2 linked regions of the Rattus norvegicus genome follow. The protein of the gene in region 1 purifies or fractionates together with the protein of each later gene. This does not show direct contact. Links are inferred from orthologs where the notes say so. Each region holds a gene or a part of one and is shown on either strand. Other genes may lie near its edges. The genes, in order: Stx11 and Vamp8.

Region 1 (4,323 bases):
AGCTCCTGGACAACCCTCATCTACAGTTAGGCTCACTGTTTAATAAATGCTTTCTTTCCACTAACCACGAGTCAGATGGGTACCCAAGCCCAGGAACGCCATACTGAATAACACTTCATCTTTTTTCTTTCCTCTAGAAGATGTGGCTCTGAGGCTGCGGAGGGAGCGATGAGACAGAGGTGAAAGATGTGGTAATGGAGCCTTTTACTAGTTGGCCACCTCAGAGGACTGGGAAATTAACCCTCAGGGATCTGAGCCAAGAGACTGTGGTGAACGCCTGACACCTATTTCTGCTGTTCTCCGTGCATGCGTATTTAAGATAAAGTTTAAATTCATAAATTATGCACAGTAAGAGATGAACAAGAATTAATAGTGGAGCAATTACAACGATATGGTTCTAATTAATTTGGTGTGGATGTATTCCCTCTCTCAGAGCATCATCTCACTGCCAAGTGTGGTGGCACACACCTTTAATACGAGTTCTCAGGAGGCAGAAGCGGGCAGAGAGATAGCTGTGGATTCTAGGTCAGCCAGGGCTACGCGGTGAGACCACGTCTCAAGTAAAATAAATAGATGCATACTATTATTGCTGGAACTTTCTATTTCACGTTTCAGAGCTCGGGTAATAAAAATCAAGGAAGTGAAGCCAGTCCTCAGATAAGGAACAACCGATGAGCAGAAAGCCACCAATGGCTCGTAAGTCACTCCCTGTTGTTTAAAAGACACAGGAAAGTGCCCATAAGTGCCCAGGGATGATAACAGACTGGGTTTGCTTTCACACAGCTACCGAGCAATACAAAACACGGTTAATTCAAACACTTTAAACGCCACGCCTCACTAGTATGTTCTTTAAATCATACACATATGCACATACAAATATGCTTTTCAAATCATGTATGTATTGAGTGAAAACCTGGCTGCCAACCAAGACAAGCAGATGATGGGAACCCAGACTTTCCTTTGCTGTCCCAAGAGTGATCCAGGATATTCTGATCCTCCACACTGGGGCGCCTCCTTTGGGTGTAAATTTCTCACAGCACCTGCTGGCATTTCTTCTAGGCTCTGCCCCACAGTTACCTGGCAACAGCCAAATATACCTGACTCAGTATAAAAGGGGCTGCTTGCCCCCTCCTCACTCTTTTGCTCTTTGTCCCTTTTCTCCCCATTCTCCTCTACCCGCCTCTATACCTGATCAAAGCCTGCCTCTACTCTCTATTCTTCCTCCTTCTCTTCCTCCTCCTCCTCCTTCCTCTCTCTCTGTCTCTGTCTCTGTCTCTCTCTGTGTCTCTCTCTGTCTCTGTTTCTCTCTGTCTCTCTGTCTCTGTCTCTGTCTCTGTCTCTGTCTCTGTCTCTGTCTCTCTCTCTCTCTCTCTCCTTTCTCTGTTTCTTCTACCCCGTCCACTCCCCTCCCCATGCCCTAAATAAACTCTATTCTATACTCTTATACTATACCATGTATGGATGGTCCCTCAGGGGAAAGGGATGCCTCAGCATGGACCCACAGAGGCACCCCCTTCCCCCACACCTCTACTAAACATATCCCTGACTTCTTTTTCTTTTTTATAAAACACAATAGCACCCATCTCACAATGTTGGATTTCCAGGAAAATCAGCTCAGCTGTGGCTCTGGCTGTCAGGATAGCACTGTGCCTGGGATTGTACACATGGAACTTGAGGAAAAGAACAGACCAGAACCTTGTAACTGCTGTCTAGGGCTGACCTCAGCTCAGCCAAGATACACAGTTATTCTTGCCTCTGCTTAGCTTCTAGATAGGGAAGTCTGTTTCTAAGAGCATATTAATGTCTGGCTCTAGCAACCATCTACTTTCTTCAAAAGCTTCTCTCTATATTTTTTAAAGTACTAACTTGGTAAAAAAAATAAACTTTCTGAAATATTTTAAATTTCGGAGTAACTTACAATCACTCCACTAAATGCCCAGTTTCTACCAACCAGTGAAAACAAATGGTTATTGGATAATGGAATTAATTTTCTCTTCAGCTTCTGTGGGAAAGCACATGATTTTAAGGGTTATCTCAGATCGGCCTAGTGACCCTAGCTGGCATGTTGTCCCATCAGACGCTCTAGGAAACTGAAAACTTGAATAGCTACTTCCTAGGCCGCCTGCCCCAGTTTGACAGCACCAGACTCATCTCCGTTCTTATTCTAAGTACAGGGATCCAACCTCGCTTTTCAAAAGCGTATTAACAAAGCCTTGCAATTATAGTCGCCTTCTGACTCATTTGTGGATACCCGTGTAGAAACAACAGCTCCTCCCTCTGCTGAGAAATGCTCTACTAAGTGTGAGAGAGCCACAGGAAGTAAAACGCAGGTCTCAGCTGGTCTCGGCCAAAGAAGCCAAAAGAATTCCGTAGTGTGGTTCTTTAAGCAAAGCCACCAGATCGCTCCCCCCTAAAACAAACTCCCCCAAATCTTCTGTGCGGGCTGTTTCAACGCCTTATCAATGTTCCCATATTTCCTGGCTCCTGAGTCATACTGTCAAGTTCAAGTGGAGAAGTGCCCATTCTGATGTGCTTGAGAAAGTGGCAACCAAACGGAAAAGAAGCACCTCCATTCAATAAAACAATAAAACTGACTACACCAGTCATTTCTGAAGCACTTCTGATAAAGCCTTAGATTCTCAAAGACTTAAAAAGCTTTTGGCTCTAGGAGTGAAACCCAAAGCCGCGTCCTGAAGGTACCTAGAGGCGCAGAGGGAACCACACCCCAAACCCACCTGCTGCTGGGCAGCATCCCTGCCCTGGGCCAGTGAGGTCCGCCACTCCAGCCAGCCCCGCACCCGGGTCCCCGATGCCCAAAGAGTTTGAGAACCAAAGCACACTCCCGTGACGAAACGAACCGTGATCCGGCGGGGCGCTGATCCAGCGTCCGGACGCCGGGAGGACACGCAATGCTCGCGTCCCGGAGGCTCTGCCTCTTCTGCTTCTTGATGGCCAGGGCTGCGCTTCTCAGCCGGGTCCGAGCTCTGCGCCACCCCGGCCGCATCTGGCGCTGCTGGCTCCGCCCCCACCGCGCTGAGCCTGCACAGCTGGGGGACCAGGCCCCGCCCCGGGGACGCCCTGGGCTGGGCGCGCAGTTTCTCGTCCTCACGGACGAGAGTCGCCACGGTGCGGGTGGCTGAGAACCTAGACACGAGCCTCCCTCCACTGCTGTGCGCCCCGAGATGCTGCGGGCGACCGTGTGGACCACCCGGGAAACTTCCTCTGTCTTCTTCGGTGCTCTGGGATGGAGAGATGGGCGGAGCGGGATTCGTCGGACTTTCCAAGGGAAAACCCCTCGGCATGAATGACATTTGCAGTCCAGAGCATTTCCGAGGCTAGGACGCTAGAAACCGTTTCTGAGCGTGGGTGTGGCTGCGCCTGCAGAGACCCGCGCGATGGTTGAACCGGAGGTTGTGGATCTTGAAGACACTGAGCCCCGCCTTCCACTAGTCCCTTCCCGCCTGCTGTCAGTGGGGCATCCACGGGTACTGCCACGACCTCGTCCTCGTAGCCTGACACCCTACTAGAGACTCGGAAAGAGAAAAGGGGCTTTCGGGTGAGCGGATGGGAAGCCTCTGGACAAACACGGCGAAGGCTAACCATCTAAAACAGAAAAATGATGTGTGCATTGATGCTAGGAAGTCACCCAAAGAGCTCCGGGTGCCTAAAGCCGGAAGAATTTGAGGAACGAGGTGGCACTGGATGGTAACACAAAGTTATTCATCTAACGTGAACAGATGGCCGATGAAATAGGTCCACAAGTCTCCGGAGCAGAGCAACTTCAAGCAACCGAAGCAGAAACCCACTTTCTTGGAAAAGAAACTTGTCTCTCTGCACTCAATATAGAGAGCCTGCTCCTCTACATAGGGCTGTACAGAAAGGAGGAGGAAAGTAGTTTTTACCACACAGATAAATGATGTTGTGACAGTGAGCGGAGCTTGCCCCTGGTTCAACAACCACAAATCCACTTGCACACCCCCACTCCCACCCCCACCCCACGAAAATGCCTGACCAATCCTACTCACAGCTGTTGAAAGATCCTACGAGAAAAGAATCTTAACCGGCCACGGAAGATGCTGAGAAGGCTGGGAGGTGGGTTTCGGAATTAAACAAAAACAAATCGGTGGGAGACGGCTCAGAACTTGATGTTCTTGCGGAGGACCTGAGTGCGATTCACAGCACCAACATGGTGCCTCTCCTAACCTCTGTGGGTGCCGGTCGCACACATGATATGTACACGGTAGATGGAGGCAAAACATTCCCACACATAAAATAAAAGGAAAGGAATCTCTGAAAATGGAAACAAAACACTTAACTAAAGAT
Region 2 (4,435 bases), on another chromosome or scaffold:
CTGCAAAGAAGAGGAGGTCTAAGCGAGACATGTAGGAGATATTATTCTGACCCTTGCAGGCAGAGGGATCCTGAGATTAAAGAATTTCATTGCCCTTCCCAGCGGTGTTAAAGCTGACTCAGCAAGATGCCCCCCCACTTCCAGCCCAATAACACCTGGTAAATGCTAAAAGGCCAAGGGTTGCCTAGTATTCATAATTTTGCCTTGGGGGCATCAACTCCAAATGACTGCCAAGGACAAGCTTTAAAAGAAAAATCAGTTTCATACCCCAAAGAAGCTTAGGAATGTAGCAGTTGACTGAACTGTCTCAGAAATGGCTCTGTGGGTGGACCCCTTGCTCAAGCCCAAATGGATCCACTCACTGGGCTCTCTACCAACCAGCAGAGTAGCAAGGAGCTAGAGGTGGGAACTCAACAATCTCCCTCATGGGCGAAAGGGCAGTAGACACGACAGTCTGTGTCCCTTCTGTTCACTTTACCTTCCCCCCAAAACTTCTCTCTCCCTACAAGATCTCTCCCCCCCACTCCTAGTTTTCTCCCAACCTCACCGTGGCTTCCAAGTCCTCTGTCTTGTTTCGGAGATGGTCCAGGTTCTCCCCTCGGGCCAAGATCCGCTCCACATTCTGGGTCATAATATTCTTGACTCCCTCCACCTCACTCTGCAGGTTCCTGACTCGGTCATTTCCGGCACTCCCACTGGCCTCCTGCAGGTCAATACAGGGGTTAATTAGGCTGGGCAGCAGAGGATCCAAGAGGCCAGAGGAGGTTGGAAGGACCAAAGTAGCTCTACCACTGAGCTAAATCCCCAACCCGAGATTTTAGCCACTTCTAATACTTCAGTTGTTTACAAGGGGAATGTTCTATGGAAACGTTCACGTGGGTGCAAGCGCGTGTATGTCCCAGATCAGCCTCAGGTGTCATTCCTCAGCAGCCATTTGGTTTTTGGTTTTGTTCCCAGAGGCTGGGTCTTCTGTTGGCCGGGGGTTCTGAGATTAGGGTGGACAGAAAGCCTTCTCTACCATCCGAGTGCTGGGAGCCACTGCACCTGAGTGCTTGCACCACCGCACCTGGAGTTTTCTTTTCTTCTAAATGGGTCTAGGGACCCAAGTCAAATCTCCATGCTTATGTGGCAAGCACTTTGTCCACTGAGCCACCTCCCCAGATTTATTAATTTATTTATCCGAGACAGGGTCTCATATAACCTAGGCCAGCCTCAAACTTCCTAAGTAGGATGACCTTGAACATCTGATCCTCCGGTCTTGACTTACCCTGTGCTGAGATTACAGATGTGCCCCATCACCCCTGTTTTATCAGGTGCTGGGGATCAAACCCTGAGCTTCATGCTTGCCAGGCAAACACTCTGTTAGCTGAACCGCATCCTTAGTCTGGCATAAGTGCAGTGTGTGTGTATGTGTGTGTGGTGTGTATACGTGGGTGTGCACACACATTATCAGTAAGTGTGTGTTGGGGAATATACATGTATGCCATGGCACACATGTGGAGGTTAAAGGACAACTCTCATGAGTGGATTGTCTCCTAGAGTTGGACAGACAGGAGTGAGAAGGATATTGAATTCAGGCAGACAGGCTTGCTCTGCAAGCACTTTTACCTACCCAACCATCTTGGCTGCCATATAAGGACATTTTTTTTAAGTCCCAGAAGATGAGATTTGATTCTGGACTGCAAACCACCTTCGGGGGTTTCAGGGTGACAAGGAAAAAACAGCACACAACTGCTCCCATTTTGACACCACAAAGAGGGTCGGGGAGAAAACAGAACTGGATTTCCGTTCTCCTCAGCAGAGCACAGAAAAGTACTATTTTTTTTTTTTTTTTGGTTCTTTTTTTCGGAGCTGGGGATCGAACCCAGGGCCTTGCGCTTCCTAGGTAAGCGCTCTACCACTGAGCTAAATCCCCAGCCCCAGAAAAGTACTATTAACTGGTCCCCATAGCCTCCCTCTTCCCAGTCCTAGTGGGTTCTCTCTAAAACTCTGAGAGCTGGCCAGCAGAAGGACCCTTGCCTGGCCCAACCCAAGTTCCTCTCCAGACAGCTGTTGGTGAATTCTGGTTCCAGCTTGCTGGGCAGTGTAACCCTGGTTCAGTCGGTGTGGCCCCCAGAAGGCATCGTGTGCCGTTGGACCGCACACTTCTGCTTTCCCCACAATTTAGCGCCTGGTAGGCCGCACACCACCGCCTGCTTATGTAGATATTAACAAAAGTTCTTCCTGCTGAGGTCTTCTTCCAGGAGGCCTCTAGATAAAGCTTTTGAACAAGGAGGAAAAAGGCCTGACTCCTCCCTTAGGGACCCAGGGGGCCGTGGTACTGGCCGTGGGTGTGGGCTGAAGCTAGATTATCAGGGAGAACCGCCATCTGGCTTCTTTACAAACCCTTGGCACTGTTGCTAATGTTTCTAGAGAAGAGGGGTGCTTTTTGTGGCCAGGCAGATCCTCTGCGTGTCTGCGTAGATACAGTGCGAGGCTAAGGGGGGAGAACTCCAGTCCGCTGGGCTGGAATCTGAACACCAAAGAGCAGGAGCACTTGTGGTCCGGTAATGTCACAACACCCGGCTCAGGCCCAGCTGGAGGAGGCGGAGGAGGGGGAGGGCGCGGCGCAGCAGCTCGGCTTGGAATTTGGGTTCCCCAGCCCCCACCGAAACCCTGATCCCATCCAGCACCGAGGTCATGGGAAGAAGGAGGTGGAGAAGTGTCGGGAACCCCTGGCCCGGAGTGCGGAGCTATTTGTAGACGAGTTGTCAAAAGTAAGGAGAGAGAGGCAGCGCTGGCCCAACCCGGCCAGCCTACTGACGGCCGCCAACTTACCTATCTCGACACAGGCAACCCCCAGGCCCGATCCCGCTCCTCTAAATCTCTCTTTCCTAGTCCCCACGTCACTCACCATGTCTCGGAGCACTTGGGCCTCTCAAAGCAGAACTTCGCCTAGTCTGTTTCCACCCAAGGCAGCTACAGCTTCACTTCCTGCTTACTCCAACTTTCTGCCCGCCTCCTGCCCATCCCGCGACTCCAGCCTCTCGGGCTCCTGTCACACGTAACTAACTGCAGGTTTCTCCAGGTAGGCGGCCGCCCTCTACTGCCCTCCTCCTAGTCTCCTCCTAAACAAAAGCTTAAGCAACAGGGCAGGGGAGTGGGGGAGGGGAAAGCGTCTAAGTTGTCAAGAAGGAGAAAAGAAGGATCAACAACCCTGCTAAGTTTTCAGTAACTTCTTTTTGTGCTTCAAAGGAGTAATTCTAGTTTTTTTGACTTAAATTAGCCTTATTTAGATAGCAACGAATATACAGGTGAAAAAATCTTGCTGGGCAACCTTTGTCTCTGAGCCATCCTGGATGAGAAGAGAGCACTTTAGTGAGGATTTTAATCCCCAGAAAACGGGGCTGGAGAGATGGCTGGGCAGTTGAGATCACCTGGTGCTTCTGCAGTGACCCAAGTTCAGGTCCCGCACCCACACCTGGCTGCTCACAAACACCTGTATCGCAGCTCTAGGGGGTCCGGATGCCCTCTTCTGGCCTCTGAGGGTATGTGAACACACATGTGCACACACACACACACACACACACACACACATACACATAATTAAAGTCTTTAAAATCTCCAGGAAAGTTCCAAGTTGGCCCTGGGGGAATCTTTGCCCTCCTCTTTGGATTCTTCGTTGCTGAGGTTGACCTCCAGCAGTAGGAGGAGTACAAACAGCAGGGGCAGGGCACCTTAGCCTTGTCACAGGACAGGAGACAGTCAGGGAAATGGATCACTCACCAGCCCCTCCTTTCCTTCTGGAGTTCAGCAGTCCGGCATTTCCTTCCAAAGGTCACCGTGGGGGTTAGTGACCCTGGTCAGGAGTCAGATGGATTAGGAGGGGGCCTAAGCGGAAAGGGTTTTTCCACCACACGTGGCTTTCCGCCAGAGAAAATCTGCTCTTCTCCGGATGGAGTTTGTCAAGACAGAACAATAACAGGGCACCAAGAGAACACACATTCTTTCCCACCCCAGAATAAATAACATTGTCAAGGAGGAAATCTTAGCTCCTCCAACAAATAAGTCTTCTTTTTTTTTTTTTTTCTTTTTGCTATAATAAATTTAGAATCTCGGAATCATTTTAAGACACTTTTGTGTTTTCCCTTGTACATGCTCAGGGACTCAGGGAGGAGCTACATCTACAAACACTGCATGCTTAGTTTTACAGAAGCAAATTGAAGCAACTAGTAACACTTTAAAAAAAATCTTTAAACAAAGATTTATCATTATTATTTTTAAGTGTGCGCATGTGTGTGTGCAGGGCGGCTGGGTTAGGTTCTCTGGTAAGTTACAGGCAGTTGTGGGCTGCCTGATGTGGGTGCTGGGAGCTTAACCCTTCAGTGAGAGTAGCACATGCTCTTAGCTGCTGAACTCGCTCTCTAGCCCCCTAGTAATGCCTTAAAATGGCACA

The links.
Region 2: the proteins of Stx11 (region 1) and Vamp8 purify together in Homo sapiens (co-immunoprecipitation; 3 studies listed by BioGRID and IntAct, counting the BioPlex papers as one, with this or other methods). This does not show direct contact. The link is inferred for Rattus norvegicus from reciprocal best matches to the Homo sapiens genes STX11 and VAMP8.

Annotation. Positions count from the first base shown.
Region 1 is NC_086019.1:9,137,293-9,141,615, forward strand, and holds the start of Stx11 (syntaxin-11), read right to left. Parts: upstream 2,928-4,323; 5' UTR 2,859-2,927; exon of another isoform or gene 2,736-2,858; intron 1-2,735. UniProt on the Homo sapiens protein: SNARE that acts to regulate protein transport between late endosomes and the trans-Golgi network.
Region 2 is NC_086022.1:106,002,609-106,007,043, forward strand, and holds the start of Vamp8 (vesicle-associated membrane protein 8), read right to left. Parts: upstream 3,035-4,435; 5' UTR 2,897-3,034; coding exon 2,894-2,896; intron 704-2,893; coding exon 548-703; intron 1-547. UniProt on the Homo sapiens protein: SNAREs, soluble N-ethylmaleimide-sensitive factor-attachment protein receptors, are essential proteins for fusion of cellular membranes.